Linked DNA regions of Schizosaccharomyces pombe. The gene in region 4 interacts genetically with the main gene of each other region. Each region holds a gene or a part of one and is shown on either strand. Other genes may lie near its edges. The genes, in order: btb1, amo1, gdt1 and klp3.

What was found.
Region 1: mutations in klp3 (region 4) and btb1 together harm fitness more than expected from each alone (negative genetic interaction), as found in Schizosaccharomyces pombe (one large-scale study listed by BioGRID).
Region 2: mutations in klp3 (region 4) and amo1 together harm fitness less than expected from each alone (positive genetic interaction), as found in Schizosaccharomyces pombe (one large-scale study listed by BioGRID).
Region 3: mutations in klp3 (region 4) and gdt1 together harm fitness less than expected from each alone (positive genetic interaction), as found in Schizosaccharomyces pombe (one large-scale study listed by BioGRID).

The regions. Positions count from the first base shown.
Region 1 is NC_003421.2:127,746-137,548, reverse strand, and holds btb1 (BTB/POZ family ubiquitin-type ligase substrate adaptor Btb1), read right to left. Parts: upstream 6,155-9,803; 5' UTR 6,033-6,154; coding exon 1,989-6,032; downstream 1-1,988. Other genes in the region: DNA-directed RNA polymerase III complex subunit Rpc37, read right to left, coding at 1-528; sdh3 (succinate dehydrogenase cytochrome B subunit), read left to right, coding at 1,050-1,592; mRNA 5'-cap (guanine-N7-)-methyltransferase Pcm1, read right to left, coding at 6,536-7,618; rRNA processing protein Enp2, read right to left, coding at 8,351-9,803. UniProt on the Schizosaccharomyces pombe protein: Probable substrate-specific adapter of an E3 ubiquitin-protein ligase complex which mediates the ubiquitination and subsequent proteasomal degradation of target proteins.
Region 2 is NC_003423.3:3,026,302-3,033,393, forward strand, and holds amo1 (nuclear rim protein Amo1), read right to left. Parts: upstream 3,925-7,092; 5' UTR 3,892-3,924; coding exon 2,637-3,891; exon of another isoform or gene 2,577-2,636; coding exon 2,404-2,576; 3' UTR 2,384-2,403; downstream 1-2,383. Other genes in the region: met3 (cystathionine gamma-synthase), read right to left, coding at 140-1,972; SPOM_SPBC15D4.11C (Mam33 family protein), read right to left, coding at 4,070-4,420, 4,459-4,612, 4,754-5,040; protein mug98, read right to left, coding at 5,449-5,756, 5,795-5,828; SPOM_SPBC15D4.13C (ASCC1 family protein), read right to left, coding at 6,191-6,409, 6,460-6,521, 6,588-6,921. UniProt on the Schizosaccharomyces pombe protein: Involved in the cell polarity process where it is required for the correct termination of microtubule growth at the cell ends during interphase.
Region 3 is NC_003424.3:5,537,165-5,544,622, reverse strand, and holds gdt1 (GDT1-like protein), read left to right. Parts: upstream 1-3,141; 5' UTR 3,142-3,484; coding exon 3,485-4,273; 3' UTR 4,274-4,591; downstream 4,592-7,458. Other genes in the region: SPOM_SPAC186.06 (isomerase), read right to left, coding at 1,650-2,204; SPOM_SPAC186.04C (uncharacterized protein), read left to right, coding at 5,522-6,049.
Region 4 is NC_003424.3:4,703,780-4,712,200, reverse strand, and holds klp3 (kinesin-like protein Klp3), read right to left. Parts: upstream 5,424-8,421; 5' UTR 5,287-5,423; coding exon 5,176-5,286; exon of another isoform or gene 5,123-5,175; coding exon 5,023-5,122; exon of another isoform or gene 4,815-5,022; coding exon 4,741-4,814; exon of another isoform or gene 4,696-4,740; coding exon 4,542-4,695; exon of another isoform or gene 4,469-4,541; coding exon 3,243-4,468; 3' UTR 2,949-3,242; downstream 1-2,948. Other genes in the region: phosphorelay sensor kinase Mak1, read right to left, coding at 1-2,062, 2,163-2,231; mo25 family protein Pmo25, read left to right, coding at 6,282-6,383, 6,439-6,891, 6,977-7,411; mannosyltransferase complex subunit Alg9, read right to left, coding at 7,880-8,421. UniProt on the Schizosaccharomyces pombe protein: Cytoplasmic motor that could play a role in Golgi membrane recycling.

The DNA.
Region 1 (9,803 bases), on a different chromosome or scaffold from region 4:
CACTGCGCGAATGGGTCCACGTGGGGTAGACGTACCAGACGAAGAATTTGAAGGGCCAGCAGCAGCCTTTAACTTTTGTGTATATTCATTTACATGTTTCATTGAGGGCCTCAGCTGCGTTAAACCGCGCAACGGCACAATATGAAATTGCCCGTCGCGAATTAGACCGACCATCAAATTGGTCCTTGGTTTCTGAAGTCTTCCAGAAAGTGTTTGGGTCTGAATTGGCTTTTTGCCGTTACCATATTTCATTGCCTTATCCTCATTATAGTATTTTGTTGTAGGAATGGGTACATCGACCTCCATCCAGCCAGTCTTCGGTTTCACTCGAACATCGATTGGTGCTTCACCATTTGCATCACTGTATGTGCGGTTTTTAGGACGAAGGGGAAATTGATTTAGTAAAAGATTATTTCTAAGTCCGGGTGAGAAAAATACCGGATATGTCCGCACCACTGGATCCTGCTCTTCAGTTTCATCATTTCTCAGTTTGGCTTCTTCCATTGCTTGATCTTCTGAAAAGGACATTCTTTAAGTCTTTTTATCTATTAACTTTTCCGTAAATTATCTTTATACCCTTTTTCCCTGCAAAAAGTACTGTTAAATTGAGGCGACAAATTTTTACCTAGTAAATGAAATCCTTTGCCAAAATATTAATATACCTTTTCCACTTTCCAATCAGTTTTTTAATACAATAGCTGTCTTCAAAAAATGCAGAAAATCTTTATTGTGAATGCCTCTCGACAAAATTTCCAAATTATTAAAAGAAAATGGTTTTTATCAAAATATAAAATTGGTCGGTTTCTATAATTCGAACTCCGGCCTTTTAACATTATTGCCTACAGCGAGCGAATTGCTAAGCGGAAAATATCTTCCAATAACATACTGCGCAATTCCTCTAGCTACCAATACCATTTGTTGCAGTACACATATAATTAATCAGTTGAAAACTTGTGTCTGCATCCATTTTTTACACTGTACAACTATTGAATAAGTATTCTTTTAAAAATTTGAATTATCCCCCTTTTTTTTTGCGACCCAATTTGACCATGTTCGCAACTCGCTCATTCTGCCTAAGCTCTTCTTTATTCCGTCCGGCTGCTCAACTGTTGCGCCCTGCTGGCCGCTCTACTTTACGAAATGTTTGGAGACGCTCTATTGCAACCGAACATTTGACCCAGACGGAGGCTAATTCTCGTCTTGCTTCCCAGCGTGTTCACCGTCCAAATTCTCCTCATTTGACTATCTATGAACCTCAATTGACTTGGTATCTATCCAGTTTACATCGTATCACTGGTTGTGTTGTCGCCGGTACTCTTTATGCTTTCGCTATGGGCTACTTGGTGGCTCCTCTCGCTGGATACTCTTTGGATACAGCTACCATTTCTGGTCTTATTCAGCAAGTTCCCACCTGGATCAAAGTTCCTGCTAAGTTTGTTATTTCTTATCCTTTGACTTTCCACATTTTTAACGGTATTCGTCACTTGATCTGGGATACCACCAAGGAGTTAAGTCTAAAGGGTGTCTATCGTACCGGTTATGCTGTTCTTGCCCTTTCCGTTTTGACCTCTGGCTATTTTGCGATGATTTAGGTGAATGGAAACAAACCTTATCTTTGCTCGTTTTGTAATTGCTTGTCACGGTTTCTCTAGTGAATTTACGAAGCAGCATCATTTCTCCTATAATTTTTCCACTACAATTGGATCTGTCCTTGATACACTATAAATTACCGTGTATATCGAATTCTTGTATTCATTCCGTACGTGCTTTGAATTTCTTTATGACCAAAGTTTCCTATTCAATTTTATTATTTTCAAATATTGAATTTTTAGCGTATGTAAAATGTGTGATTGGTATCGTGAAACAAAAGCTTAATAAATAATTCACCATGTAGCAAATATTTTTTCTTATACATATCTATTAAAGTATCTCTTCATAAGTTGAATAAATTAATGTCCTGAATTTTTTGTATATAGTCGTTGTTATGGTCATTTGACTGCACGTGCTTTTCCTTTCTTGTGAGTAGTCCTTGGTATATCAATAGGAAGAGATTTAAACTCCGCAGTGGACTCTGACACTTTGGAATCTTTTTCCTTTCTGTGCCTTCGTTGAGGTTGTTTAGAAGCTTGTCCCTGTTTTCTATTCGTAGAGGTATCTCTTTCAGTTTTAAGGATTCCAAGTTCTTTCTGTACTCTCAAACTCTCCTCCTCCCACCACTTTTGAAACTCCTCTTCCTGTTGTATCTCCTCAATTGTTTTTCTAAAAGATGATCTCCTCTTTTGACTCTCAATTTCTTCTTTCTGCTCAGTCATAATCTCCGAAATCGATAAAGGTTGGCTATTTTTTGGTAAAGAAGCAGATCGGGGAGATGGTTTAGTAAGTAGGTTCCAACTAGTTGGAGAACCATTGGAAATGCGCTTCTTCGATTCTTGATAAATTACTTGAGATGAACCTTCCTCTCGAGCTGCCTCTCTAAGAATACCATTAAATGACTTTTTCACTCCAGTTGATGACGAAAAACTGCCCCTCTGATGTGTTGCTACAGACCAAGGGTTTGAGTGATTCGATTTACCCAACTCGATATCGATGTGGCCAACATTTGTTTTGGAAATAGGCACTTGCTTTGAAAGCTCCTTTTTTTTCTCACGTTGGGATTTTTTAGTTGGAGCTTTCATAAATCTAGAATCAGACAAAACCGTAGTAGTTGAAGCATCAGCTTTCTCTTGCTCCAGCAATTCTCTAAGACTAGCTCTAGTAGTGTTGTTATTATGAGAAAGATTTTCCCTATTCCTCCATGGACTCGTTTTGTCAAAAGTAATTGTTGCAGTAACAGGTTGATCAGCCCCAGGACCATTTAATTGTGTTTTATCCCCTCCTGACGAAGCAGACTCTATATTGTTTTGAATTTCAACAGAAGCTCCTGCTGTCTTTGTAATGCTCGTAACGTTAACAACATTTGGTTTAGGAGACTTCTCCTCAGCATCTTCCTTATTTAATGAATCACTTTGATTACTTGAAGGAACAATTCCAGATTCTAAAATTACTGCTGAAGTGCTGCATCGACGATCTTCAAAAATAGACCGATAAGGGGAATCGTCCCATAATTGAGAACTTTCCTGGGAAAACAAGTATTCTCTGAGAACTTTAAGCTCATAATTTCTTTTTTCCATCAACACTGGATCTCTTATCAATAATCTATTAGCAATCTTGCTAGAAGGAAGATGTACTCGTTGATCAGAAAGCAATTCAGTTAAACGTTGAGCGACTTTTTTTAAATGGAAACCATCCCATTCACTTATACGATTTGCTTCCAAAAAGAATTCAATATTGTGACAAGCATAATCAATACATCGTGAATAAAGCTCCTCAGCGTGATAACTAAGTGAAAGATCCATTAGAGTAGGTAGAGTTTTCAAATTTAAAAAGCGAAGTAAGGATTGCTGGGCTATGCTTTTTAGTTCAAGAAAAAGAAGCTCGTCTGCAATAGACAAAATTTCGAACATAGTTTCCAACCAATTATGAAAATCGGATTCTTTCAAATCGTCAAAAAGCTCAACTTTTAAGTCACTGTATACATGACGAAGAACAATTGACATATGCTCAACAGTCAAATGAGACAAATTGACGGTTATTGGGATGTCAAAACTATTGCTTTCCATAGAAACAAATTGGAAATAAGAACTAAAGTATTCACTGCGGAGACTTAAAAAAAGACCATGTGCCTTGAGCTCTCCATCTTTAAGCTTTATTACTGTATCCATTGTTTCTTCGCATAAGACATAAAAATTATTATATAGTTGCAGAATGTCATTCGTTAAAGAAAGCAAAGGTTGGCGGGAAACACTAAACGGTAAAACCTCCGCTAAATGAGGTAACTCCAGTAAGTTTGCAAGTTTTGAAAGGTTTTCTTTTAAAGGTGAAAAGCGTGAATCAAGATGCCATGGAGAAAGCAATGTATCCGTGTACAAATAATGCAAAAGAATAGCAACCGCTAAAGGAGGAATATCTTCAACTCTAATTGTTGAATGAGATTGAGTGATTTCTTCAATGTAAATGATGTTGGAGACACTCGATTTCTTTTTTTGTAGCAATAATTTTCTCAAAAATGAAGATCGAGCACACAATATGAACTTATGTGAGTGGAACATAGAAGTACCACAATAAATAGTAACATCAGAAAATGATTGCTTATAATTTTCATAACTAGTAAGAATCGGTATAGATCCTTCAAAAAGTAGCTGCATCTCATTGCTGGATGCAGCGCGGTCTTCGTCAAAAATAGGGACTCCGTCTTCATCTTCGGGAGGAATCAAACGTGGTTGTCTTACATGTAAAAGGTGGTCATAGGGAAGTAGTGAGCGCAAAAGATCAATTAACATATTCGAAGGCTTGTAGATTGGCGGTGGAAGATAATCATTTCGAATTGCAAAAAATGATCCAGAAGCGCTCGCACGGACTCCAACAACCATTTGTAAATTTTCAATTCTATTATATTTGTATGGTCCTCTAGAATACGGGCTACTAGATGACTTTTCTCGCTTTTTTGACCTTAACTCCCGTTTCCAACAAGTGCCATTTCTAGTACATAGTATTAAAGAATTATCAGCGGTCCACGCAATATCTAAAGCTGCAAGGTCTGAAGATTCAAAAATCCATAATGGAGTAAATTTGAATGAAGTTCGTGTGGAATTCTTGGAAGAGGTAGAATCACGATCAAGTAAAAGCTTCATATCAAATTCATAGACTTCGCCTAGTTCTGTAAGCACGGCTAGTTTGTTTTCTGAAGCTAATAATTTTCTAACGTTAAATCTGGTGAGGGAAAGAGGATGCTTAGTTACCTTTAACGAACTACCAAAGTCAACGTTGAATGGCAATTTCACTTGATTATAATTGCAAAAGGCAATTATACTGTTGTTTTGTAAAAGGCATATCGTAGCACGAGTAGTACAAACGGCATGTATGACAGGCGATAATAAGCCAGCAACTCTCCTTGGAGTAGAAACAACTGAAATATGATCAGATATACCTAATTGGCCATTATTTAACCCCCAGCTGTAAATATCAGTGTCAGTCCAAGCAACGCTATAACTTTTTCCAGCCGCCATTCCAATTATCTGATAATCCTTGAATGCAGAGATACGCCTAGGGGTAATTTGAATTGGATCATCCTTTTTCAGTTCGTCATTAGAAAGTCCCAGTTCACCAGAACCATTCTTTCCCCACGAATAAATACTTCCGAACTTTGTAAGAGCAAGTGAATGGGTATGACTAACAGAAATCTGGATAACTTTATGAATGATACCAGGAATAGGAATAAAGTTATATTGAACGTCCGTGTTAAAACCTATTCTCCCTCCAGCACCAATACCACATACGTAAACATTTTGCGACGGCTCATCCGTTAGTACGACGCTGTGAAATTTGGAAGCCTGCACATCAAGGATTTTGTCTCGGGAAAAGAGTTGACCTGATGTGGGAGACTCTGTTTGGTTTTTCAGTAAAAACACTCTTTCTGGCGATGAAGGTTCTTTCCCATTTGCTATTCCGAGCGTATTGTTTACGTTAGTACCAAAGCCATAAAGTTCATTTCCTATTATCGGTAAGTCAAGAACCGGATGAATAGTGCTTGAAAGGACTCGTGATAAAAATTGAAATGGAGAAAGACCTTCTTTGTCTTTAATACGCAATGATCTGAAGGAGGGATCTTTTGATAAAAGCAAAGACGCTGCTTCCAAGTTGCCAACGTAGATTGCCCGATGCAACGCCGTATATCCAGATTCTTCATCTTGCACAAAAACATCAATGCCTTTATGCTGCAAAAGAGATCTAACAAAGGAATTTTTATTCTCAGAAACGGCGATGTGCAGCACGGTGCGTCCGTATCGATCTTTTTGGTTGATACGGAGTTTTTGTCCGCTCTTTTCCGAAAAACCCTTTCTAGGCTCTTTCACCTTTGAATCATCTTGCTTCAGTAGATTTTGGAATGAGCGAATGTCGTTGCAAAGGTAATACGCGAAAAGCAGATGACTCATTTAATCAATCGAGACTAAAAAAGGGCGCAATGTGAATTTATCATTTAATCAATCGATTACTCCATAAGAAATTTTCTCTCAAATCAATTAAAACGTTCCAGTTTTTTAACTTGACTGTTGCTGAAGAAAAAATGGAAGAAGAGTAGCAGTGGATGCTGGTAGTTGAATACCGACAGGTGCATTGATTTAAGCTATCGCTTAATATTTGAGGCAATTTTTGGGGCAATCTGATTTGATGAAATATGCCTGGGAGCATACTTTATTTATTCGCTTAAGCTGGAATGAAAGAGAGCATGTTACTTATGTATAAAATATATGAAAACAGAAAAAGAAAGAATAAAGGCATAAAAATGAATAAATAAATAAAAGTCATTGCCATCAAAAATTAATCTACATCTTTTAAAGTCATCTTTTTTTCTACCACTGTACTGATCTTTCGAGCGTGAAAGATCTTTCTACAATGCGGTCTGCACAGTGAATCAGTGGGATAAGGAAAGAAAAGACTAAATTCCCCTCTTCTCAAAGGCAAATGCTAAATAAAATCCTGCTGCTTCTTTTTCCTGTCCACCAATTCCACGGTGTCCTTCATTATCAACGACTTTCATTCGATCCATTAGGGGTCCATACGTTTCAGAGTTTTTCTCTTCATTTAAGATGTCCAAAAAAGGTTTTACCCATATTAATTCAAGATTGTATCCTTCGGCAACAGCACGAAAGGCTTCAAAAGGAACTACATATTCAGGAACATCGGTAACAGCATCCTCTAAATAAAAATAATATTGAATTCCATACGGAGGTCGAAAAGAGCGTGGAGGTGATTCAGGAAATCTGACTTTGTATATGTCATTTCCCCATTCTTTTTCTCCTGGTTTAAGCATTTTAATATGTTTGACAATTACATCGGAATTGGGAATCGTTCCTATCATTACTCCACCACGAGGAAGGCATTTAGAAACGTTCCCCAACAAGACCCTAACCTTTTCTTCGCTTTCAAATGCATAATGCATGCAAAACTGTAGAGAAACAACGTCAAATTTTCTTTGGTCTGGGGGAAGTAATTCGTTAATTGAGCTAGAAAAACAGTCGCCAGCGTAGAATAGTGCATCAAAAGAAGCATGCATTTCACGGTATCTCTTCTTGGCCTGATTTACGGAAACTTCAGCTATGTCAATCCCAATATATCCATCAATGCCAGCTTTGTCCCATTTAATTAAATCACCACCTTTTCCACATCCCATGTCTAGTACCAAAATAGGATAATCAGAAGCATGGGGTGCGAATTTTTGTATGAGAACAGATTTGATCCAGTTGTTAAACCTCTTTAGTTGAATAATAGGAGAAAATTGTCGTTTTTTATAACCCAAATCAGGACGCGCGTTATAGTGTGAACGTACCACATCCTGCGCATTACCATTGTTTTCATGCCTATTATAACCTCTGCGACCAGAGTTGTCATTGTTTTGGAAGTAATCGCGACGCCTTGGTTGTTGTTCAATTACTCGATTCATTTGTGCAGTAGGTCTCGCATATCTGCGATTTTCTGTTGGAGGCTGTTCCTCATGCACTCGGGAGTTCGAGCTGCTCATATCTCTTATTATAAATATTATTATAAATAAATGAGAATAGTTTCTTTCAAAGGTTAACGATCTTTCCATCATATGATGACTATCCATCGATCACAAACTTACATACAAATAATTTTCTTCAAAATAATTCAAAAAACAGAAACTTCTTTAAAAAAGATCAAAAACATATGACTTTTAAAACTTGCTTTACTGTCTTAGAGAAATTAGACTATATTCAATAGCATGAGGTTGCAGTGTGGTTGGTATACTGGCGAGAAAAGTAGATGTTGCAATACGAAGTGGATTACCAGATTCTTTACATTACCACAGCTAAGATATATATAATTTGTTGACAATGTTTTCAATTCAGCCAAATTTAGTTTACATATAAAAAACGAACCTGCTTCTAAATAAATAAATAAACAAAACTTGAAATTTTGGGCGACTAATCTACTACTGCCAGATTGCAACAAGAAGTAATCATAAAACAATGATAGATACATAAAGTAGATATTTCATTAAATTGCTTATTGCTTACCTATTAAAAACCGAAATTAATTTTTTGAGCACACGAATCCATCGTATGCGAAACCCAAATACCAACTTGCTAAACCAAAAATAAAGCTAAATGAAGATGTATACAACACAGAAATTTTTTATGAAAAGTGACAGATAATGTATGCACGCCTGCAAATGTTTCTATATCCGCCAAGTAGTGGTAAACACAAATTTGACAGTTCTACCGTGCTTTGGTTACATGTTTCGGAAAACGTTTTTGCTAGCTGAACGTCGACCTTGAGTAACTTGTTTCTTTTTGCCAGACGTTGAATCCTCGTCTCGATTAACAGGTTTAGACTTCTTTTTCTTTTCAACCTTGAATGTCATTTCCATACCAGAGGGAGTACTACGAATGGTTTCTTGAGGTGTCTTTTCATTGCTGACCTGCTGCTCCGTCTTTCTTCTGTCAACAAGTGCATCGAAGGTTTCATTTTCTTCCTCCATATCAGACAGTGACTCCTCATCAGAACTAAACTTAATACCCTTGGTATGTTCCTTTTCTTCTTCGGACTCTTCCGCAGCAGTAAGGCCCCTTGCTTCAGACCTAGAAGGATGTAATTGCTTATATTCCAAAGTATCTTCATCCACTTCAAATTCTTTATCTGTGAATACATTTTTGAAACGTTCGTCTTCAAGGATGCTAGGTCCGTCCGTAACGCCAGTTTTCTTACGCAACTTGTTCTCTTGATAAGATAATCGAGATGCCAATCCAGCATTGACTTTTGGACGATTCTGAGAACGAATCTTGCTTGCACGTTGCTTCTCCAGACGTTCTTTGACAATTTTTTGACGATGTTCCTCATAAGAGAAGGGATTAGCAATCAGTCTTGCCTTTTCATACAGATTATTATCAATAAAGAAACCATGCATGTAAGCACGAATAACACCTGTTCCAACAAGATGATCTAAACCGAGATTAAGGAGTTCTTTCTTAGTTACGAACTTATAATCATCATAAATAGTAGGCGCGGGATTTTCTTCCATTTCTTCTGTAATATTATCGAGGAAGGAACACCAACGGGGAGCAGGATTTAACGATGGAATATAGAATGCGTGCATAGGAGAACCTTCATTAGCTGTAAGAATTAAACCAGTACCCTCAATGGGACAAACATCGTTCAACTCAACCGTAGGTTCAATAGAGCTAAAAGGCTTCCCTGTATCCTTTTCCCAAATCTTAATGATTTTAGAGTCAGCAGAAAGTACCCTCGCAGTTCCATCTAATGCACTATCCATCCAGTGAAGAGATTTAATGGGCATGCTGTAACCCTGGTCTTTGCTCATGTAAGGACTTGAAGAACGTAAATCATATAACAGGGTGGCACCATCTGAAAGGCCAATCGCAACATTAAGTCCATCGTTCCTATATTTTAAAGCTGTTACAGAACGAGAATTGTCGGAATAAGGAGTAGAAGGTACAGTGCTAGGAATTTCAAGTATTCCAACTCTAGAGCGATCACGAGGATCCCAAAATTCGACACTGCCAGCATCTGTCCCAAAAGCCAACAATTGGTGCATAGGATTTATATCTATTACATTAACACCACCAGTCGGACTGTCAATTTGGGCGCTTTCAATTTTGAGAGGATTTAAAAATCGACCCTGTTCTAAATTCAACCGATAAACTTCATCGCCAGCAGCCGCAAGG
Region 2 (7,092 bases), on a different chromosome or scaffold from region 4:
TGTTTAAATATATTTAAGGTAATACCAAAAAGAAAAAACAACAATTTCAAGAATAACTATGACAGTTTCATCTATAACTATAGTTATATGATTGGGTTTTTAAAAAATATCTATTATTTGAAAACAGTTTAGATACAAGTTATGAAAGAGCATTTATAAAAACATTTTTCAGGTGTTCGCTGGGTTCCATTCCAACGCTGACACGAACAAGGTTTCTATCTATGCCATTCTCACCAGCCCAATCCAACTCTTGGTAGTGAGCTAAAATTGCATAGGGAGAAGCCAACGTAAAATTTGTACCAAGTGAGGGACCTTTTGCTACTTGGATTTTGTCGTAAAATTGGCGCGCATCTTCAGGATTGTGGAAAACGACAGACAAAAGACCACCATAACCTCCATTTTCTCTCCGGCAAGCTTCAAAATGCTCTTTTGATGTATTGTATTTGGGATAGTATAGAGTTTTAATTTTAGGGTTTTGATAAAGCAAATTACAAATTGTTTCCGCGTTATGGTTTATCACTTGTGAACGTTCAGCAAAATCTCTGCTATTTCTTTCTAATGTCAAAGCATCCTCATCATATAATAAGTCTTCATAAAGAGCCTTCATAGCATCTTTTATTCGAGAGTAGTAACGACTTGACGGATTTAAAACCATACTACCTCCCATTACATTACTATCACCGCTAAAAATCTTTGTGAGGCTGCTGACAACTACATCTGCTAATGGTAAAACCTCAACGTTGACAAAATTTCCAATTGTTTCATCAACCACGACAGCAAAATCATAACTGTCTGCTAATTTCCGAATACGAACCAAATCGGGAGAGTTTAAAAGAGGATTTGATGGAAACTCACAAAACAATGCCATAACTTTCTCTCCACTTTCTAACCGTTTCTCAAACTCATCAAGTTGCTCGTCATTACCTAGTCCATAAAAGTAGCAGCCAGATCCCCATTTCTGTAAAATTTTTAAGGTATCAACATAACAAAAACCAAAACAAACACTTTTACGGCTATCATCAAGCACCAACCTTAATATGCGATGAGTATTGTAAATAGCACTCATGCCAGTAGGAAATAAAAAAACATCGTCGTGACTTAAACCTTTAACTTCACGTAAATACTGAGACCCTTCTTTGGGTAAAGCCTTTTGCAAATCAACTTCATCTTTTAAGGTACCAGCGATACGTCGTCGAAGAACAAGTTTAGCTGCTGTAGCCAAACTTAAATCTAAATTACGCCCATATCTCTCCTCCAAATATAGGGATACGTCTTCCATTTCATCATTAGCTTGGTTTCCTTCGTTAGTCATCCAAGTATTCAAAGCCTGTAGATCTGGATGGGAAGCATATCGGCTTCTGCTTTTACTTTTGAGATGAGAAATAGACCTCTGGGCAACCAAAAATTCGGAAATAGACTGAATTTTTTTGTAGGAATGCAGAAAAGCAGCTGCGCGTCTGCTTGAAATACCGTCCCCCGTATGTTGCCAGAATTGCTTGGCAATCCCAAAGTATTTGGATGGAAACAATACAGAATAAACCTGAGGTATGTGTATTTCTTCAGTATATTTGCGATTTCGGTCAATTGAATCAAGATGTTTTCGCAGTCCCTTCGTGGCATCATAAATAATGACTTCCGCAGAGTCTATAGGTCCTTTACTTTCAAGAAAAGCTGCACTTTGCTTAGCAACGGATAATGAAGGATACAAAAACATATCGTAGTCCTTTAGCTTCAAAATCTCAATCTCTGGAAATTTCTTTATGATGCTAATGCAATCCTTGACGTGTGCGCTTATAAAGAACCTCGGATATCCTGACTTCATTTTAGTAGTTACATTAGGATCTCCCTCTTCATATCCAACATTGGATTTCCATGTAGGTAAAGTAACTGAAATGGCATGTTCAGTATCAGCTGGAATTGATGAACCGACCTCTGTAGGTGGATTGACTAGGTAAGAAATATTTGCAGACATTTAAAGAATTAAATAAAATTGAGATTTATATATAAATAGCCATAAACAAAAGTTTTGGGTTCTTGCAAAAATCTGGAGTGAATTGTGTGTGGAATTGGGACAACCATCTCTTTAGACCCAATAGGCGTGCAGGACAGTTCTGTCCTCTATATCAAATCAGCTATCAGTTTGATTCATGAATTAATAACAAAAAATAGTACTGTTTTCTTTCTAGAATTTTACAATGATACATAAATCGAGTTAGGTACAACTTTATCAGATAGCCGTGTAGGAAAGCATCACACTTTGTCTAATACTCGTAATTGAAATTACATATATATATATATATATATATTTACAACCTAATATCGAATATGAAATTTGAACAAAGTTTAATACTAATCAAAAATCCCCGAAAAAACTTACGTTGAATAACTATTTTAATAAAATAATTAACAAAATTGTGGTGGAGGGGCTGTTGTTGGAACTTTTCCGGGAATGAAATCTTGAGCTTCAAATTGCTGAATCATTTCTGGGGGAAATGCGAGATTTTGATTGGAATTACTCATTTCTACTTGATCATCCAAAGTTTGGATAGAAGAAGCACCTATTGGATTAATCGGACCTGTCGATGATCGTTAGTCATATTCGTATACTAGCAAGGATACAAAGTAAAAAAACTTACCGTCAATTGTGTTAGAAGATCCAAACATAGGAGTTTGGATTATATTTTTGTTAGCAGGATTATCGTTAGAAAATCCTGAAGCGGATATTTTAGAGGTTACATTGGCAAATGGAGATTCAAAAGTAGTATTAGGCGGAACAAAAGGGCCTTGAGGTTGTTGCATAAAAGTAGCAGGGGGCTGAACAGTAAAACCATTTGGGTTCACTGGTTGTGTTAAAGATGTATGACCAAAAACTGGTTGTGAATTATTAGGAAGCGAGAATTGAGTATTCAAATTTTGAAAAGCTGATTGCTGAGGCTGATTCTGTATTCCAAAACCGCTGGCAACAGTAGGACCGAAAATCGAACTTGGATCATTCACATTTTGACTTTGTGAAAACCCAGAAGCAACTTGTGAAAACGAGGAGAATGATGAGTTAGGAATCCCTTGTCCGGAATTAACAAATGACGAATTTGGCTGAGATATTCCCCCAAATGCTGATGGCCCTGAGGTTGCCGAACCAAAACTAGACGAACCAAAAGAAGATGGGTTGTTTTGGACTGGATTACTTCCCGTAAATGAATTTGAGGATGTATTTTGAGAAAATGGAGACGCATTTAATTGCGATGTAAATGCAGAAGTCGTAGGGGCGCCAAAAATATCGTTTGCTTGCTGATTGTTATTGAAAGAATTATTGTTATTTGAAAAAGAATTGAAAGGACTATTTTGAGTTGGCTTGTTGAACTGATTAGACGTAACCGTTGAATTGCTAGTAGACTTATCAAAAATTGACTTATAATTTGTCTTTCCGACGAGTTTATTTCTCATTTCATCGAAAGCAGCAGCAGGCGACCGTTTAACGGCTGCTGCTTTTGCTTCTACATCATCCATCAACTGTTTCTGGCGTTGTTCATATGCTTGCATATTGTTTGTCGCTTTAGCCTGATATGCCCACCACCGCAATTCTTCAGGCGAAACATCGCCTTCATAAATTGATGGTAGATTCTCAACTACTGAATAACCTGTAAAAGGCCATTGTGGTTTTGCGTTTTTAAGATCGTCGTTAATATCCTTCATTCTTCTATTGGGAAGCAAATTATCTAAATCGCTTCTCTTCAAACGCCTTTGTACCCATATTGGAGGTCGTCCATTCTCTGGACGAAAGACATTAACCTTAGAAAATGCATTTTGTCCATTAGAAGGTACCGTATGTTGATTTTTACAATTGGTACCATACCTGCACCGATTTTGAAGGAAATACTTACAAACGACCATGTTGTTGAATAGTTGAAATGATATGCTAAAGATAAGTATAAAAATGTATCATAATCATATGTTATACTCCAAATTTTCTTATTTTTAGAGTGGGCGTCCCATTTGGAATCGTAGTGTGGTGTAGCGTTATTGCTCCAATTAATCATAAAGTAAAGGAATTCAAAGAACAATTATACCATCATTGGGAGTCTGATTTTTTAGTTGTTGATGATTCAGAAGGTAAAATAAATCCAATAATATTATGAATCCAATGCTTATAGGAGACATTTTCTTTTCGCCAACTGCGAGATATTAGCGCCTTCATGAATTTTACTGTAATTCCTTGTTCATCCAAGAATTCAAGTAAACTTGACTTGATAGAAGCTGGAACGTGCTTTGTTTTTCTGCCAGTGTACTTCTGTGATTTTTGTAAAATTAACCTCAAGTCAGATGAGAACGCTTGAGAGTTTTGAGGTGATTGAAAAGAAATGCTATCAAAATGAAGCATGCCCTTACAAAGTATTAAAGCACACAAAATTGTGCCATGGTTCTATAATTGTAAGTTATAATAACATGTTAAGATCTTACGTTAGTGAGTTGGACATAAGCAGGAATTGAATGCTGAAAGAACACTAGTTCATCAGATGTTTCGTTACCATTTTCATTTTCAGCACTATGCGTTATCGGCTTTGTTTGGACGTAACTTTTACGAGAGCTATATACGGGAACAGTAACGCGTATTCTAGCTACGTTAGTACTATTATATCGAAAGAAATTTAAAGGCTCTGCTGAAAGCATAATCTTAAACGTTGTATATTAGCCAACGCATAGACATGAAATCACATCGTTGAATTCAACAAACAATTGAGGAAAAATAGCTTACCTTTCCTTTGCCGTTTCTTTTAAAGCTGAAATGTAGTTAAGCGAAGGATCTTCATGGATTATAAAAGAATGAAGAGCCTTTTCGTATCCTTTTTTAGGTAATGTCTCATCAAGAACCTGTTTCACGTAACCCAGTTCAGAATCTAATTTCAACGCTAGTTGCTCCGTTAGGATACCACTTGTAAATTTTCGTTTACTACGAAACATATCAAAGTAAGAAAACCTCCTTTCGCAATTAAATAAAGGATATTTAAAGTTTCGTGCTGTAGAGATCGCTTTTCTGAGCATTTTGAAGTGCAATAAGCTGAAGAATAGAATTGTTACAAGCCGTCCAACAAAGATTTGCTTCTTCAATGGATTGATGAATTGTACAGATTATAAATATTTAATGCAATGGGGCATATGACAATAAGCACTTTAACTGAATTTGCTTCCTTATGAGAAGTACGCAAAGCAGTGACTTTAAAGTAATACAGCGGTTTTCACTAAAGTGCTTGTATACCATAGCAATGGATGAAGAAAATAATTAATGGAAAAATCATTATTGTAGACATCTGATTAAAGAAAAAAATAAAGAAATTAAGACTATGAAATTCTTTTTCCTGGTTTTTTAACGGCGTCGATTATAACCATAATGATGAAGATGCGGTTTTTGAATGAAATTGAAAAAATTGGCACAAAATTTTGAAAACATGACTAATAATAAACGTGATGGTAATTTCCGTTTGGACCATGCTGCATATAATACGGATTCGCATACCACAAACCATTCTCACGTTTGGTAAACGGACGATAAAACGCAGAATATGAATGGTTTATTTTAGCTTCAACATTGTATAGAGGGGGAAACTGGCATGTTTCTTTACGATTATAATGATTTCTACTTTTTCGGTGATTAATTTGTGGAATCCAAGTTTTAGCTCCGGGGTTCATGCGAGAAGTATTTGCTCGAACTTTCAAAGGAAGTTCTTTTCGGAGGTATTCTTCTCGGGCTTTAAGCGCAACTAATAATTAATAATTTAACATAAATTAGTCTACTTACGCTCATGCTTTAACTGCATTACCGGAATGCTCATTGTGTCGACAGCAATAGCCTTTTGCAAGCAAACTATGAGATGTGTTAAAAGATGTGAATGGTTCGTTTATTACCTTCAATTTTGTCTTCCATTGTCAAATTATCAGCATGTATATGTGAAATCAATTATAATAAAGGATCTCAAAATAATTTGAATAGTTTCCAAAATTTCAATCAATTTCGAGAAATGATGGTAAAAGGAGCTATATTATATATTTGTGCTTCGTCAAAACAAAATGAGTTATAAATTGCACCGATATTACTTCTATGACCAATTTCATATTTGTTTACACATGTGACTATCATGTGGTAAACAATCGATTCCAAAAGCGTTTTTGTAAACAACAACTACTACCTTTATAATCAATCATTAACGAGTAAAGGAATTGAGGCTAACTCTTCATAATACATATTACCCGGTTCTCCAACAGCGCCTGTTTTCATAATACTTAGTTTATCAAGTTCAATATTATGAGCCCAAAGAAATTGACCGTATTTTTCCATAAAAGGTTCCGAATTAAAAAACCTGATACGTCGCCCCTGGTATTTTATATACCTGGAATTTAACAAGGTGCAGTGTAGCTAGTTTTGTTAGCAAAATTATAATTTGGTTAACATCGCATAATGCGTACAGTAAGAGGTCTAGCGTCTTTAGTAAAAAGATTGTGTTCAGTGAAAATAACTTTTAACCATTCTATGAATTAGCTTATTAATAAAAAAAATAAAAACTCCGTACCACAAAAGGCTTGTAAGTCATTACCATTATGCTTGTCCACTGGAGTAGCATACAGCACCTTGGCTTCCTGAGGAGATTTCCCAAAGAAAGAAGTTCCCTTTAAATCGATTGTAATCTTTTTCTCGCCATAGGATTTTCGGATTTCATCCTCTTTGTTGTATAAAAAATCCATGCACTTGAGAACGTCTTCGTCGTTTTTAACCGGGATCATACCAATAGTAAGATGTGAGACACGAGGGCCACGAAATCCAGATAATATCATGGGATCATTAGATGTTAGTTTAAAATACTTTAAAGATTCCTCGATATAGTGCTCAGATATCGGTAAGGCCAAGAATAACAAATTTGGATATCGCATAATAATTAACAGATTACTATGGCAAAGTATTCAAAGTAATTTATTTACGGAAAGTTGTTCTGCGGCTCAAACAAAATTCACTGATCGCTAATGAAATATGAGGTAAGAGGAAATCACTTACAAATTTATAATGTAATTAAAATTGACTACATAACAATAATCAGGCTGTAC
Region 3 (7,458 bases), 830 kb from region 4:
GCTTTATTCTGGATAAAAATGCACTTTGTAGCCTGGTTCAACGATTGTGTTTTACATTCCATATAAGCCGTATTAATTTGGCCTAAGTTACTACTGTCACAGTTTTCATTTTCATTAAACCATTAGATCAACATTCCTCTTTAAAATAATTCAGACTCTACCTCAATCAGTGATGGTTCAAATTATTTACAGTTACCGAACTCTGGTAGGGCGAGCGGACCTACTGATGAATTAGTATGTTTTCGCTAAGTATTATCGTACATCTGGCTCACTATTAACCTATAGTTGAGTAAATAGTACAAGTTTAAAATTCAATAGCTATCATAAATGTTATTATCCCAAAAATTCCAAATGTAGTGTATAATTAACGGGTTTGGTCACTATATAACATTGTGTAGTAATAGTGGAACTAATTTTACAGCAACTTCATCTATACAATCAATATAATCACGTTTAACATGCCAAATATGTCATATCGTATAATATGTTAAATGGAAGAATGAAGGTTATAAAAAATGAAAGTTTTAGCGATTTAAGAGTTATATGTATTGCTTATTTGATACAAAGATTAAGTTTAACATTTTATTTGTATTTATTTTTTACCTAAAAAAGGTTAGAAAAAAGGTCGCATACGCTGCTGAATGGAGAAATTCAGAATATGTCACATTATCTTGCCCAACAACTCTAATGCATATGCGGGTTTATTTAATTATATAAAATAATCCAAAAAACTTATAGCGCTTAAAGGGTTCAACAAATATAGTGTAATACACTCCTGAATAAATTTCTACATCTAAGTTTTGGTTCAGTTCGTTCATAACAATTTACATTAACAATACACACAACCGAAAAATTGTATTTAGTCAAAGAAACAAAATTTAATTATTATGACTTTATTCGAATGATAAGCAACAATATAACTTTTCACGCTATTATTATTATGGAATATACAAAGTCCCGATACCCGAACACTAAAACATCTAATAAAGAGCCATTAATCGTATAACCCAACACTTATTTTGTATTAAAAAAAGGGAAAAGGTATGAATAAGGTAAATACAATAAATTTTCAATGGTTGAGTAGTTTAATGATGGCAAGGGTATTTCTGTTGATATGTTGTTTATTTGACTTTGCAGATTATATAAGTTTCTTAGATAATTGACAGAACCTAGAAATTTTAGGTATTCTTTACAATTCTTAGGTTGTTTCCATTGTAGGACTTTGTCTATATTTTCTTGACAAAATGTAAATTCCTTTTCATAAATATGATACCCTACAAATTCATTTGTTAGTTTGTAAAATTTTGCGCTTTTGCTTGGTTGATAATCAAATGTGCATTTTTCAGTCTCTGTAAAACATCTTTAACATGCTCTACATGTGGTATGTTATATGGGCGATGTTCTAATTCATTAAAAATCAGAACCGATTTTGGTTAAGAAATCACTTTTTTTATCGAAAGAAAAGAAATGAAAAAATAATGAATAATAAATTCAAAATCCGTTGATCAATACATATTGAATATCACTATTTTTAATTGCTATTTTAGGATACCGATATAAAACAAACCCTATTCATTTTTTTAATATTTTCAATATTTATCAGTAACTTAACGAGTGAATATTTTATCAGTCCTTTTGTTAAATAAAAATCAGATTTCTGCAGTTCCAGAAATGCAGATTTTGGATCCGCCACCAACATGAATATCGTATAATCCGTTTGCAGACAACTTGATAGCTACTCGAATTAAAGCATTTCTGCCTAATATCTTTCCTTGATTAAATAATAAATGAGCGAAATCGGAAGAGATTATTGATGGATTATTGAGGGCGAAAAATACACCAACTGATCCAGCTCCACTCCCATTAGCAGGATCTTCATTTACCCCATGAACAGGACAAAAACTTCTAAGTTCGTATGTCCCGTCGTTATACATTCCAAAAATTTGGACGCCAGTCAACGAATTTTTTGAACAGCACTCAAAAATAGCTTGAAAATTAGGATTCAAGTTCAAAACATCAGCACCGTTAGGTAGTTGAATTATAGCATTCCTTGGACCAACATCTACACAAAAAGGAGTATTGCATTGTGAACATGAACCTTCACATAAATTCAAAAATTTTTCCAAATCTACTATTACTTCTGGTGAGATACTTGAAGTCTTATAACTCGGTAATTTGAAAAGATATCCAAGTTTGATTGACATCTTCGTTATGTAACGTCAATTCAACAAGGCCGGAATTACATTGCTGCACTACTTTATTTTTCTTGGCACTACAAGACTTATTGTCCAACAAAACAAAGCATGATCCGATAGTAGGATGACCAGCAAATGGAAGCTCACAACCCGGTGTGAATATACGAATTCTGTAATCTGTTCCTGGGATGGTAGGCTTCTGTATGAATGTTGTTTCGGATAGATTGGTCCACTTAGCGATTTGTTACATTTGCGTGCTGTTTAAACCGTCAGCGTCCAAAAAAACTGCCAGAGGATTACCAGCGTATCCTTTAGTAGAAAACACATCGACTTGCCTGAATGGATATAATGCCATTCGTGCAGATAAAGCTATGTTAAGTAAAGCTAAATAATTTTGTCAACAGCTTAACTGAGAAGGGTTTATATATTAAAAAAATTTGATTAGCAAGATACAATCTGAAACTCTTATCTAGCTATGTCTACTGATGTATAAAGATAAACTGGAAATAGTGAAACCTAATGTTCGACGTGCTACGATTATCACTATTTGGTTTCCTGTAAAATTTTTAATACAGTCACTACGTTGCGTATCATTATACGTCACATGTTCATAATGTTCTATTTGCTCTATCAACTTCACATAATAAGTTATTAATACGGTTGTAATATCATTTATGATAAAGTAACTAACTATCAGTTAAAATTGTTGCTATTTTAAATGTTATAAGCAATATCAGTTATTGGTAACATTATAACCTAGATAATACAATGCCTATACTCATCTGCTACTTCTACTACCTGTGTATCGCAATATAATAGATCACAAGGAAAACTTGCCGCATTTCTACGTATCCTTAAATCAGATACCAAACTGCCTAGCTGACAAAATAAAAATGGTCGGTAATTTTCCCATGCTTATATATTACTTTTTTTCCGGTGAAAAGCTAAGTTTTCCCACATCCGTGTTGGTAGAATCTAACGATTTTGTTTCTTTAAGCTTCGGATTGGATCATCCGTGACTCAACTTCTTCTATACATAAAGTGTGCGTTGTAATTTTCGATAATGTTTTAAACATCGAAATTTTTTGTTTGTATTTTAGAAGGCCTTAAGTTTGAGACATCATTATATTCGTTATCAGCATTGGCCATCAATTACCAACTTTCGTTGTGCCTAACCACCTGAATTGCAAATTTTAGATTTTTATTGAGTGAAGCTTCAAATAACTGTCGATTAGAGTTATTGCTTATTCATTGTTTTATCTTCCTTTACCCTCTAACGTAAATGAATCATGATTAATGTTGAAAGTCCCTTAAATTTGGAAACTACTTTAGGCAGTTTGCAGTTTAGTCATGGTTCCGTTCAAAACATTGGAATGTCAATATCAATGATCATAGGCTGTGAGCTTGGAGATAAATCTTTCATCGTTACTGCTCTGTTGGCATACCAATATGGACGGGCATCCGTTTTTTTTGGTTCATATTTGGCTCTTTTTTTTATGACTTCGTTTGCTGTGTTAGTTGGGCGTGCTGCCCCTTTTCTGTTCCCTAAATCGATAACACATATTCTTGGTGGAACACTATTCTTGATATTTGGGGTAAAAATGCTGAAAGAGAGTAAAGAGGTCAGAGAAAGTCAACAGTCTCTTGAAAATGAATTTGACAAAGTCGAAAAAATTATTGTAAACGAAGAAGATATGAAAAAAACATTAGAATTGGGATTACCAGCCAGCAATAGAAGCAGCTCTACGCTTAAAGACAAATTTTTCAAAGTCTTTAGTATGAGCTGTTTTAAAAATCTGTTTTCGAAAAAATTTTCCCGGGCTTTCATAAAAGCTTTCGCACTAATTTTTGTTAGTGAGTTGGGGGATCGTTCTCAAATTGCTACCATTGTTATGTCGGCAAAGGAGAAGGTGCTTGATGTTTTCATTGGGGTGAATATTGGTCATATGCTGTGTACAATGGTAGCGGTGATTGTCGGAAGATACATATCAAATAAAATCGAAATGTATAAGGTACTGTTCTTTGGAGGGATTGTATTCATGATTTTTGGGATACTGTACATTTTTCAAGGCTTTTGATGATGATGGTTACAATTTTTATTACTTTGATATTTTATAGCTAAGTGAAGAAATAATTTTCAACGGTTGCTACGTTTTATACCTTCCGATAATGCTTTCAGCGTTAACATACGACTCTTTAAAGTCCTTATTTAGATTTTCCAAAGGATTTAAATTCTTAAAAAAGCAATGCCATTTACTCGTTGTGAGAAAATTATTTTGATCGGAAATGACTTATTTTGCTAATTTATCTGTCAGTTGGCACCAAATTCTCTGTATTTTGATACTATTTTTTAATAACTTCAATGCAATAGTTTCGTACAATTAACTGTATACTGGTTACTTCAAGTACTATACTATATATGGAATTAGTAATTTAATAGCTACTTTTGTACAAATGTATATTTTAGAAATTATTTATACTATTATTTGCATTTTTGACATATTCTGTTTTTGATAAAACTTGTTTATATCAATATTCAATACTTATTTACAATTTTCTCATTAATTGTATTTTTCTCTTTATTTATTTATTTATTTTTTTGTCACTATACAATTACTCTAAAGACCATACTAACTCCATTGCAACGTTTTTCATAGATCGCTTCTTTAAAAATAATGAGAGCTACAAATTAGAAAAGTTGGTTGACAGTACTTACTTACTCTTTACTAAAAGGAAACTCTTGAGATGAGAGATAGACTCTAATGGAGTCCGAATGAACCTGACCCCACTTAAAACTCCATTAGGAGTCGACTAGTAGTACTTCGAAGCCCACTAAGCGAACTTCGGATGAAGTACAGCTACTCCTCTTTATAATGACATAATGACATAAAGGTCAATAAAAAATGGCGAACCGACTACACGATCCAAAAGGACTACCACCTATGGTTTCAATGATTATATTAGCCTATCCACGGCCCATTCAGATTCTGTGAAATACCGAGTACAAAGAGGTTGTGCTGTAAATTATATAACCAAGGTGATCGGTTACATTGTCCACATTAATACTTGAGACCGATAGGCACATATGCGAATGCGTATACTAAAGGATTATCTGTTGTGGAAGCAATCATAAAGAAAACTTCATACGTTTCAATAGTTTTTCCTTACTAAAGCGCAAGCATTTTGTTAAAAAATCGAAAAGAAAAAGTTGTAAGAAAATTTCCCCACCTTCTTCATAAATCAATTAAACTTCGTCCGGGTGTATCCAAATACGTATCGTGAAATTTCCATATAAGTTGAGGTCATTCCTCTTCATTCTATATTATATGAACACTTCTTCACGAATTCAATTGCCATCATCGAACGATGCGCACGTTTATGATGGCCGATCCAATGAACCAAAAGCTTCAAAAAGATCCTATGTTAATCTTACACGACAAATGAGACCTAAAGATGCCTTGAAAATGAATATCTCTTCTCCAAACCTTAAGGACCTAAGCAAATTTGCAGACCCAGATGCTCAACAATGGCTTGAAGGGTATTTGGCTGGAAAACTTGAGGATAATTCTAAAACTCCTCGTTCAAATTTTGTCGATCCTCTTTACGAAGAATTAAATGCGCGAAGAAAACCCAACAAGCCGGTGTGGAGTTTGAGTGGCCCTTTGCCGCATGTTCTTGGTAATTCTGTGGTTGAGAAACTAGAGGCTCGTTCTAGAGCTTCATCAGTATCAAATTCTAGACTAAACTCCAGAACTAACTCTTCAGTTTCTCTGAAAGGTATGGATGGATCATCCAGTTGGAAAAATAAAATAAAAAACGCAGTTTCTAATGTCACGGATCAGAGTAAACGATGAAAAACTAGCCAATGAAAATCATTCAGTCTTTATGGTAGAGCAAGTAGGCTTTAGTTCAAAGCAATTCTTATTTCTACAAATCATCAATCGCCCATAGTAAGGTGTAAGGTTATACTCAATTGAATTTACTCTTATGAAATTACAACGTAGATCGTTTTACGAATGTGGTTCCGTGATTCAAAAACAGCAGTCAGTTTTACATAGCAGTAGAAGAAGTTAAGACTGCCAGCTGATTATAAATAAAGAAGTTAATGAAGTCACTTTTAATTCGTGTAGCAAAAACAAATTTTTATTCCTTAACTACTGGTGCAAATTAGGCATTTGCTTCTTAAGGTTCTGCTGAGTTTTCGGGAACTCAAGTTTGGATGTCTTTGCTGTAGGGAAGTAAAAGCTACTTCTATGAAAGAAAATGTTGGAAGTTTTCAATCTCTTTCTTTTCCTTGGGGCTTTTGTTTGATGGTTAGCGTGCATAAATCTGGTAGCGATGTTAATCCAGCTACGACTATCTCATTAGCCATAATTCGCAAATTTCTTCGCGAATAGTGTCTATCTTGTCTACTTATAAATCTAGGGTGCATTCCAAAAAATGTACTCGCTTATGGTTACCACCAGAGTTTGATTACTGAATTTGGGGGATATTAGGATATCAGAGCACGGCTACAAGTAGTTGTTTGTAGTTCAATGGAAAACATTACGACTTAAGGAAACGCATTTTTTGTAAGTTTTTTGGAACAGCTGTTTTGGTATGATACCATTCACCAGTACCCTGAGGCATGTTTGTATTTTATTAATTTACTTTTTGCGACTGCTAATATGACTCTTCGATACCTGCCAACTTAAATCTAAATTAGCATGAGGTGTAGAATGTCGTATGTCTGTATGGTGGAAGTAGGGTGTTCGGGAATATCATAGGGGTTGATATTGCCGGAGTAATTGTTCTGATTTAGTAATATACTGGCCCAGTGTTTGCAATCAATTATCTGAGACAAGAAAAAAAAAACACTATTCAAATTGACAAGACTAATTAGGTGATGTTTTGGAACGAAATTTTACTTTGAAGTTAAGAAGTTGATCCTATAATTTATATAAGAAAATATTACACCCGAATAATCATTTTTTGACCTTTTTATTATATTAAGACGTTGAATAATTTTTTTACATCCGTAAATTTTACATGACTGTTTCAAGTTTTGTTAACTTAAAAGGATAGAGAAGTACGTCAAGCTTCTTTCGTGATGAATGAAATTTCATGTTTACTATATTTAAATTTTTTTTCGCTTTACTAAAGAAGTTAAAGTAAAGGAGCTATGTTTTGTTCGTTTTGGTGCCGCTAAATTAATAAAACCGCACATCTAGTGACCATTATTAAGGGTGTAGCGCACAGCTTTTTAGCAAAGTACAAGACATGA
Region 4 (8,421 bases):
CACAATGCCCTTGCACATACTTGTGAGATTCAGAAGTGCAACAGGCATATGATTTTGATTTATCTAAAACAATTTCATCCTTCTTTAGAGTAATAGTTTCATTTGAATAATTTTCACCATCATTTAGCGAGAATCTCAAATTCTCGTTCACTTTAGAATTCTTTTTGCTAATTCGAGACTTCAATCTAGCTAGCAAACGATGCTTCTTTAAAGTAACCCATGATCGCTGGTTTTTTTTAAAAAATTCAGAAGGAACTGGTACAAACCTAGGCAATTTAGGTATGTTATTAAGAGAAGATCCTTTAGCATTGATATTGCAAAAGCTGCCTACGCACTCTCCTTCTTTATGAGGACAATCAGAGTTTTCGGAGCTCGCGCTCATACTCAACTCCTTGGTATTGTCAGTGCTAGACGTGTTAAATAATAGATGCCTTTGTGTAGGACAAGGAAGTAACGGAACAGATTGAGAATTTGAGTATGAAGAAAAAATAAAGGGTATCAAACGTTCTATGGAGGCTATTAAATTTTCCGGATAAGGAACTAAATTGGACTTGAAAGAAAGAATTGCAATTGGAGCTCTCCCACGGCTTGAAGTTTGATCCGAACAAGGAAACATCAGAGGAACATGTACAATACTGACAGCAGTTTCAGTAGGAAAACTGGTGAAGTCGTTCAAATGATCTTCTTGACGCCTGTTACCAGAAAAATTCATACCTTTACAATCATCATTAACAGCTGTTTCTGATACGGACTCTGAAGCAGACTTCTCTGTTGACGATTCAGTAGCGAAAGAAGATTCTTGCAAGCAATTTTGGAAGAATGGATTCCTATTAGGATCTGTTTGAATGGAGGGACTAGCAACTGGAGATCTTGACCAAGGAGAAAGTAAATTTTGTTCATACTCATCATAAATGTTTGAAGGTTCTTCCGAAAAAGACGAACTTTGTGCTTTTGAAATGTCACTTTGGGAATACGGTTTACGATTCTGACTGAAATGTGAAACAAATGCTCTCTTTTTCTGTGGATAAAGTCCATTTAACTGAGCTGCAGAAGCACTAATTTCAACCTGCTTTTTCAATTCATTAAGTTTTTCATCATGAAAAACTTTCCATGAATTCTTAATGCTGCGAATATCATCAACATTAGGTATAGAACTAAAGTAATCATTATCATGAACCTTGGTGTTTTTAACAATGTGCTGTTGTTTACGTGTATATACAAGCAATGTCGCACGCTCCAAGACTGTTTGTACAACTTTGCTATCAATAAGCAAATCCCCTTCATGTTTAAGAGAAGCTGGATCTTTGTATATAATACCCTTTGAACCATCCGAAGCAACTACGGTAACATAAGAACTGCTAGCAAGGTTGTCATTAACACTTATAGGGTTACTATACGGATCATAATGGGAACCGCCATCGTAATAACATCTGAGTTGCCAAGGAGTATTGTATATGTCAGAAAGGTCACGCGGTTCTACAACAGATATTTGAGTGGAAAAAAACTGCTGAGCGAAAAAGTCAATAATGTTTTTCCAGAAATTCATCAAACCGGTTTTAAAGACCAATAAGCAAGCCATTTCATACACATTTCCAATGGTACGGTTACGCTTCTCCTGTAACTGCTTAAATAAGTTAGCGGATGAATCTGTTTCAAATGGTTGCTCATCAGTTAGTGAGTGCGAAGCAGAAGTATTATCGTTGTTCAAAGCATTTCCACAAGAAGAAACGGATGGAGCAGGTGAATGGCATAATGAATTTAGTGATTCCCTAGATTTTTGAGGAGAATAGCAATCTGAACTCATTGAGGAGGTTTTAAATAACTCATTGGGACGTTTGGATGTCATCAATCGATTTGGATTTACTCGGGGAAAATTAATAAGTCGCTCATCCTCTAGTGAAGGAGAAGATACATTATTGAAAGAAAATGAATTTCGATGCTGCCTATTTAAACTGGTGGGAGATTCAAGTATCGGAGAATGAACAGAGCCAACAGAAGAGTTTTGAGAATTAGTAAACGATCCTACAATTTTTGATGATTTTTGCAGCTGGTGGTCCATGGCCTTATTCAAACGTTAGTAATTTAAATTAATTAAGTAACAAGAGATATCACATTTTATTTCATATTTAAAAAAGGAGAATCCAAGTATTGAAATCACTTACCTCTTTCAACTTTTCCAAGTGAGAATTAGAACCAACGTTATTGTTGATTTGATCGTCAGGTGGCCTCATTTTTTTAGACTAAATTTACAGGCCAGTATAGATACTAAATAAAACAAAGTTTCCAACTGTAATTACCAAAAAGAAAGTGCTATCTTATAAAGATCGTTTCAAATAAAAAACTGATGTATTTGAGTTATTTGACCACGGCAACCAGCAATGGAAATTATAAGCGTACCATTTAAAACGCTTTTTTCCTAGCGACTTTACAGCACTGAAGATTGGTAAAAAGTGTTCGAAATAGGGAAATGAAACAACTCAACAAGTTGTGTTAGCAAAATGTAAATGGATATTGAAGATCGCGTAAATGTTGTTTAGCGAAGATTGGTGGCTAGTAAATATGATCGTTCTGTTAGAAACAAGTCACTACACTATACTGTGCTGCGTTAGTTCAACTTTTCATAATATTCATGATTCTCCGTATTTCCATCCTTAGTGTAAATCTTCTATACTAGTAGTTTTATAACAATGCATTATGTTGATACATTCAAACCTTCTTTCCTGACTTCAGTTATAAGCCATATATGTGTGGTTATGTTAGTGTATTCAATATCATAATTATATTGATACAACATTTTACCATCTACGATAAACATCCTACATAAGATTATATACATCGCAAGTAACACTTAAACTACAGTTCGTTGTAGCTTAAAAAAGGTAATGATTGCTTAGCCAATAGTCAATCCTTGCTAAAGAATAGTAGTCTCAGATTACTAAATTCGCTGATTATATTATAACGGTAAATTTTTATTGAATTGTTATTACATCATCATTTGAGATGTTACACATTTGCTGAATAAGCATATAAACAATGCATTGCTGCGTAGCTGTTTTCTTTTATATTATAATGCTGCAGCAATATAAAAGAAGCTGCATAAATAATTAGTCAGAAAATTAGTTTATTCAGAAAGCAGCTAGACGAGATGCAATATTTCATGATTAAATGTGAGCTCAACAACTCTAAAGAAATTAATTAAACATATATAATCCTTCGCAAAGCAGAGTAAAAAAGTGTAGCTTTTAAGTGCCCCCTTGAATTTTCTTAATTACTGTTCCATTTTGAGGTCGCTCTTTGGAAATTAAAGCTTTAATCAATTTTCGTTGAACATTTACTAGAGCAGCCAGTGAGGAATCCAAAGTACTCAGTTTTTGTAAAAAATTGTTTCTCTCGTTATTTATCGAAAAATTTTTATCTTTCTGTTCTATTGTAAAACCCGGTTTGTCATTTAATGAGTTGTTTGCAGTAAGATTTGAATTTACTCTGTGGTTTTTAACAAGCTCAACATACCGCTCCTGAGCATCGCCCAATGCAGTCATAAGGTCTGACAATTGCTGTTTAGTGGATGATAAAACACCATCTCGTTGTTTAAGTTCAAGTTGTGCTTCAGCATACAAACGATTGATAGAATCAGAATCAAAGTTATGTCTGTGTATCGAAGCAACTGTGCTTTCGTCTCTGTCATTATTACTTTCCTGAATTGTTCTATTTCCTTGAATGATTTCTGCTTCCTTTAAGTTGGATTTTTCGGCGAGATTTGACAGTGTGAGGGAATGCTCGCCTGACCATACGTTAGAATGACAATTATTATAGTCTAAGTTATTGTTAATTCTGGCTCCACAAACGCAACGAGACAAAGCATCTTTATAAATATACAGCTGTCTTTTCATTTCATCAACAGAAAGTTCTGAGTTTACTACCGCTTTGTTTTTGATGCTCTTTGCACGATGTCCAAACCTAAGAGTAGATAAGGTCTCTGTTGCATTGTATGAATCTGGTGAACAGTTAATAATTAGAGTGGTCCGAGAATTTCCACCAAGAGACTCTTTTAAAATACGCGTTAACTTGGAATCTCTATAAGGAACATGTGATAATTTGCTGTCTGTGAGAGAATTAATAACCATTCCAAGAGTTGAAAGAGAACGGTTTATTTTCTTTGCTTCTTCTAAGGTTTGCCCGACTGCTCCACTTTTTCCTACGCTTTCGGAACCTGCCAAGTCAACTAAAAACAACCGGCCTCGTCGAGTTTCGCCGGACTCAGTGTCCGTTTGGACAACTTCGAGTACAAAAATAGAATGAGACCGTGAACTTTGCGCATTCATCGACGTACTTGCAACGGCACGTGACCCCATACCTTTATTTAAAATATCCAATGCCTCCGTTTCACTTGATACGTAAATCGTTTTTAAACCTTGAACATAAACTCCCTGAAGTTTATCTTCATGAACCGTCAGTCTGTCATTTTTTTCTGTAAATCATGGTTAATTTTGCTGAAATTAAATACGAACGTCGCAAAATTTCTACGGCATTTGAAGGCTTACCGGAAAGTAGATCATGAATTTTTTCCATGTAGATTTCCATGTATGATACCTTCACTTCGTATTCAGTAGTAGATGGTGAATCGCGGATTTTGTCAAAAATACGCCTGAGCATTCTTGGAGTCATTCCTTCTTTTTCGAAATTATTTTCAATACCCTAAAGATTGTTAGAAAAGTGTGCCAGGTGAAATTGTGAATATACCATCATGGTGTATGTTTTGCCGGATCCTGTCTGTCCATAGGCTAGTACTGTTCCGTTATAACCCAAGAATAAGTCTATAATATATTAGTACATATTTAATGAAATTCAGAACAACTTGAATGTGATTCGAACAATGTATTAAAATGGCAATTCGTTTCAAATGAAGCGTCAAAACGAGCGCATATAAAAAAAGGCTATGCTATAATTTCATACAAGCTGTTGCTGACAACGATGAAATTAATCCGTTCAACGCCGTGTAAAGTTTTACTATCATTCACATACCATCGACTGTCGATTCAATTGAATACGAAAATATATCATTCTGAGTGCTAGAAGGATGAAAAACACGATCGAATACAAAGTTTCCTGAGTAATCACTAGTCTTTTAATCATGTCAGCCGAATTCTAAAGTAAAGATCAATTGTTGAAACCTACCTCGATATGAACAGTAGAATCGTTTAATGGGTATATCACATTATTTCCTCCAAGGTCTTGTTCCAACTGGTTCGTGGGCCGAATTCGGCACACTACTTTAATTGAAGTCATTGAGTAAAACTGCTTTATAAAAAGATAAAAAATCAAATAATGTATGATTAAAACGCAGTATATAAATTAGATCCATACATCCAAAAAAATCATTAAAGACAATATGTGAGCGGGCTAATTTCATATACAGGGAAAGACGAGGTTAACCTAACATGGTGCCTCTACAATAATTGTTGTTTAAGGCAACGTATCAAAAACAGAATAATATCATGTAATTAACTACATAATTGTTTAATGTTAAAGCTCGAAGTGTGAATTAAAAAAAATAAATTTACAAATCAACAGGCTAAAATTGTTTACTTCCTTCTACATATTCTTTTTTTCCTGATATTATTTGAAGATTTACACATGTATAAAATTCTTAAGATTGTTCAATCTTGATTCATATTTTAAGCAGAGTATTTTACCCTTCGTCTGATTAATATCTGTGACGAAAATTGGATTGCAATTTCTCACATATTTATTTATGAAAATTTGATTAAATGGTAAGAACGAGAAACCTCGCAGGTATTTATTTATTTTTTTTTTTAAATTAAATAATTTTTTTAAATTGTGAAGTTTATATGGAGATTTGGATGTATTTGCAATTTACAAGTTTATCCCAGATACTATTTCAAACATTAGCATTAAAAAACGTTTGTTTTACTACTTTGTATTTCTACTAGCTATACCAACCTACCAATTCATTTACCGAAGAGAAAAAGGTATGGAAAATGCATAATTCATAAATAGATCTACTTAGTACACTTGCTATCATCTAAATGCACCTGCGTTTCAATACTTGATTACTTATGTATAATCGAGATGTAACAACCCCCACATTGGTATCACTTCAGGTATAAGTAAAGGTAATTTGAATACTCAAGAAGTGTACCTTAATAGTATTCAACTGAATATGAAAATAGACCCCCACTGTGGACCATCGCCTGGCACCCACTTTACTTACCCTGTCATATGCCATAAGTTTTTAGAGAAACCGAATTCCATAATTCCGCATGTCGTTTCTGTTCAATAAACGACCAAAATCAACCCAAGATGTTGTTCGCTGCTTATGTGATAATCTCCCAAAGTTGGAAATAAACAATGATAAAAAGAAGGTATTAATTATTAGTAATTGTTGTTTTTGTTCGTTTAGATGACTAACGTAAACAGTCCTTTGAGGAAGTTTCCAAATGTTTACAGAATTTACGGGTTTCATTGTGTGGGACAGCTGAAGTAGAGCCTGATGCTGATCTCGTATCAGACTTATCTTTTCAAATTTACCAGTCGAATTTACCTTTTTTACTCGTTCGATATTTACCGAAATTGGAGTTTGAGTCTAAAAAGGATACAGGACTAATATTTAGCGCTTTACTTAGGAGGCATGTAGCATCGAGATATCCCACTGTTGACTACATGCTTGCGCACCCGCAAATCTTTCCAGTATTGGTCTCATACTATCGATACCAGGAAGTAGCTTTTACTGCTGGTTCTATCCTTCGTGAGTGTTCCCGTCATGAAGCCCTTAATGAGGTACTTTTAAACTCACGAGATTTTTGGACATTTTTTAGTTTGATACAAGCCTCTAGTTTTGATATGGCGAGTGATGCGTTTTCGACTTTTAAGGTACGTATTATCCCCAAATAAAACTTCTGTCGTTGCAATGTTTTTATATACTCCCGCTAGTTTTGCATTTACTAACTTTAATCAGTCTATTCTTCTTAATCATAAATCCCAAGTTGCTGAGTTTATTTCATACCATTTTGACGAGTTTTTTAAGCAATACACTGTCCTTTTGAAATCTGAAAATTATGTTACCAAACGTCAATCTTTAAAGCTTTTAGGGGAAATTCTTCTTAATCGTGCTAACCGTTCAGTCATGACACGCTATATTAGTTCTGCTGAGAATCTGAAACTAATGATGATTCTGCTGAGAGATAAGAGTAAAAACATTCAATTTGAAGCTTTTCATGTTTTTAAATTGTTTGTTGCTAATCCTGAAAAGTCGGAAGAAGTAATCGAAATATTAAGGAGGAACAAATCAAAGTTGATTTCTTACTTGTCAGCTTTTCATACTGACCGGAAAAATGATGAGCAGTTTAATGATGAACGCGCATTTGTAATAAAACAGATTGAACGCTTATGACTCTTGTTACTCACCAATGTGCTCATGTCTTTCAAAATCATGCTGTTGTCCATCCTATATTTACAAAGGAAAAAAAATTGTAGATTAGATTTATTAAATGATATATGCGAGTTGAAATATTTGATGCATGAGATACGGATGCTTTAGATATTAGCATTAGGTTAATTGCTAACCGATTCCATGAATAAAAGAACTTTATTATTTCATGTACTAAGACTTCCTAAGATTGTCTGACATCGCCAAGTCAACCGTTTAGATAGATTATTTGACACTAATTATTAATTAAATATCTGACAAATTGGAAAATCAAATGTAAAATAACTTCGCATTTTTTCTATGTAATTGAGTTTCCACAGCCTTTTCTTTCTTCTTAGAGAATTTAAAGCTTTGGACATATGCTTGCAAAGACTTTTACAATTTTTAGTAATAACAACCTAAGAAAGGCTTACATACACTCTCTTAAAAATTTTAAGCTTGTTGTTTAGAGGCACGACGCAAATTTGAAAAATCAATCTTGACCGGCTTTTTCACCAATATCTCATATCGGCCCCATTTAGGCTCAATAAAGGGGACAGCAAAAGCTCTGCCCATAAAAGGAGTTTGTTTCGTGTCAATGAAAGGGTACACCATGACTGGAATCCAACCGTCAGACTTTGAATATATCGGTTCGTTGACTGTGGCCTTCGAATGATCAAACTCTAAATCTATTAAAAAATCGCAAGACTCAAGAGAAGTATAACGAGTTGGCTCTTCATTATTGAATTCATTCATGTGTTCAGGGATCTGATAGTAGCCTTCACGGTTCCACCATGTTGAATTAGATTCAACGAATTCACCGGGTAAAATACCGTCAAACTCACTCTTTACAAATTTTAGGCGTGAATTATCTGGTAAAAAGAAAGTAGAAGGGTACCTATACCATTCTTTACCAACACAAACATTAGTAGTCACGTTGTTATCTGTTTCCAAAAAGCTTATGGCTGGATAAATTATCATAGGGGCATTATAAT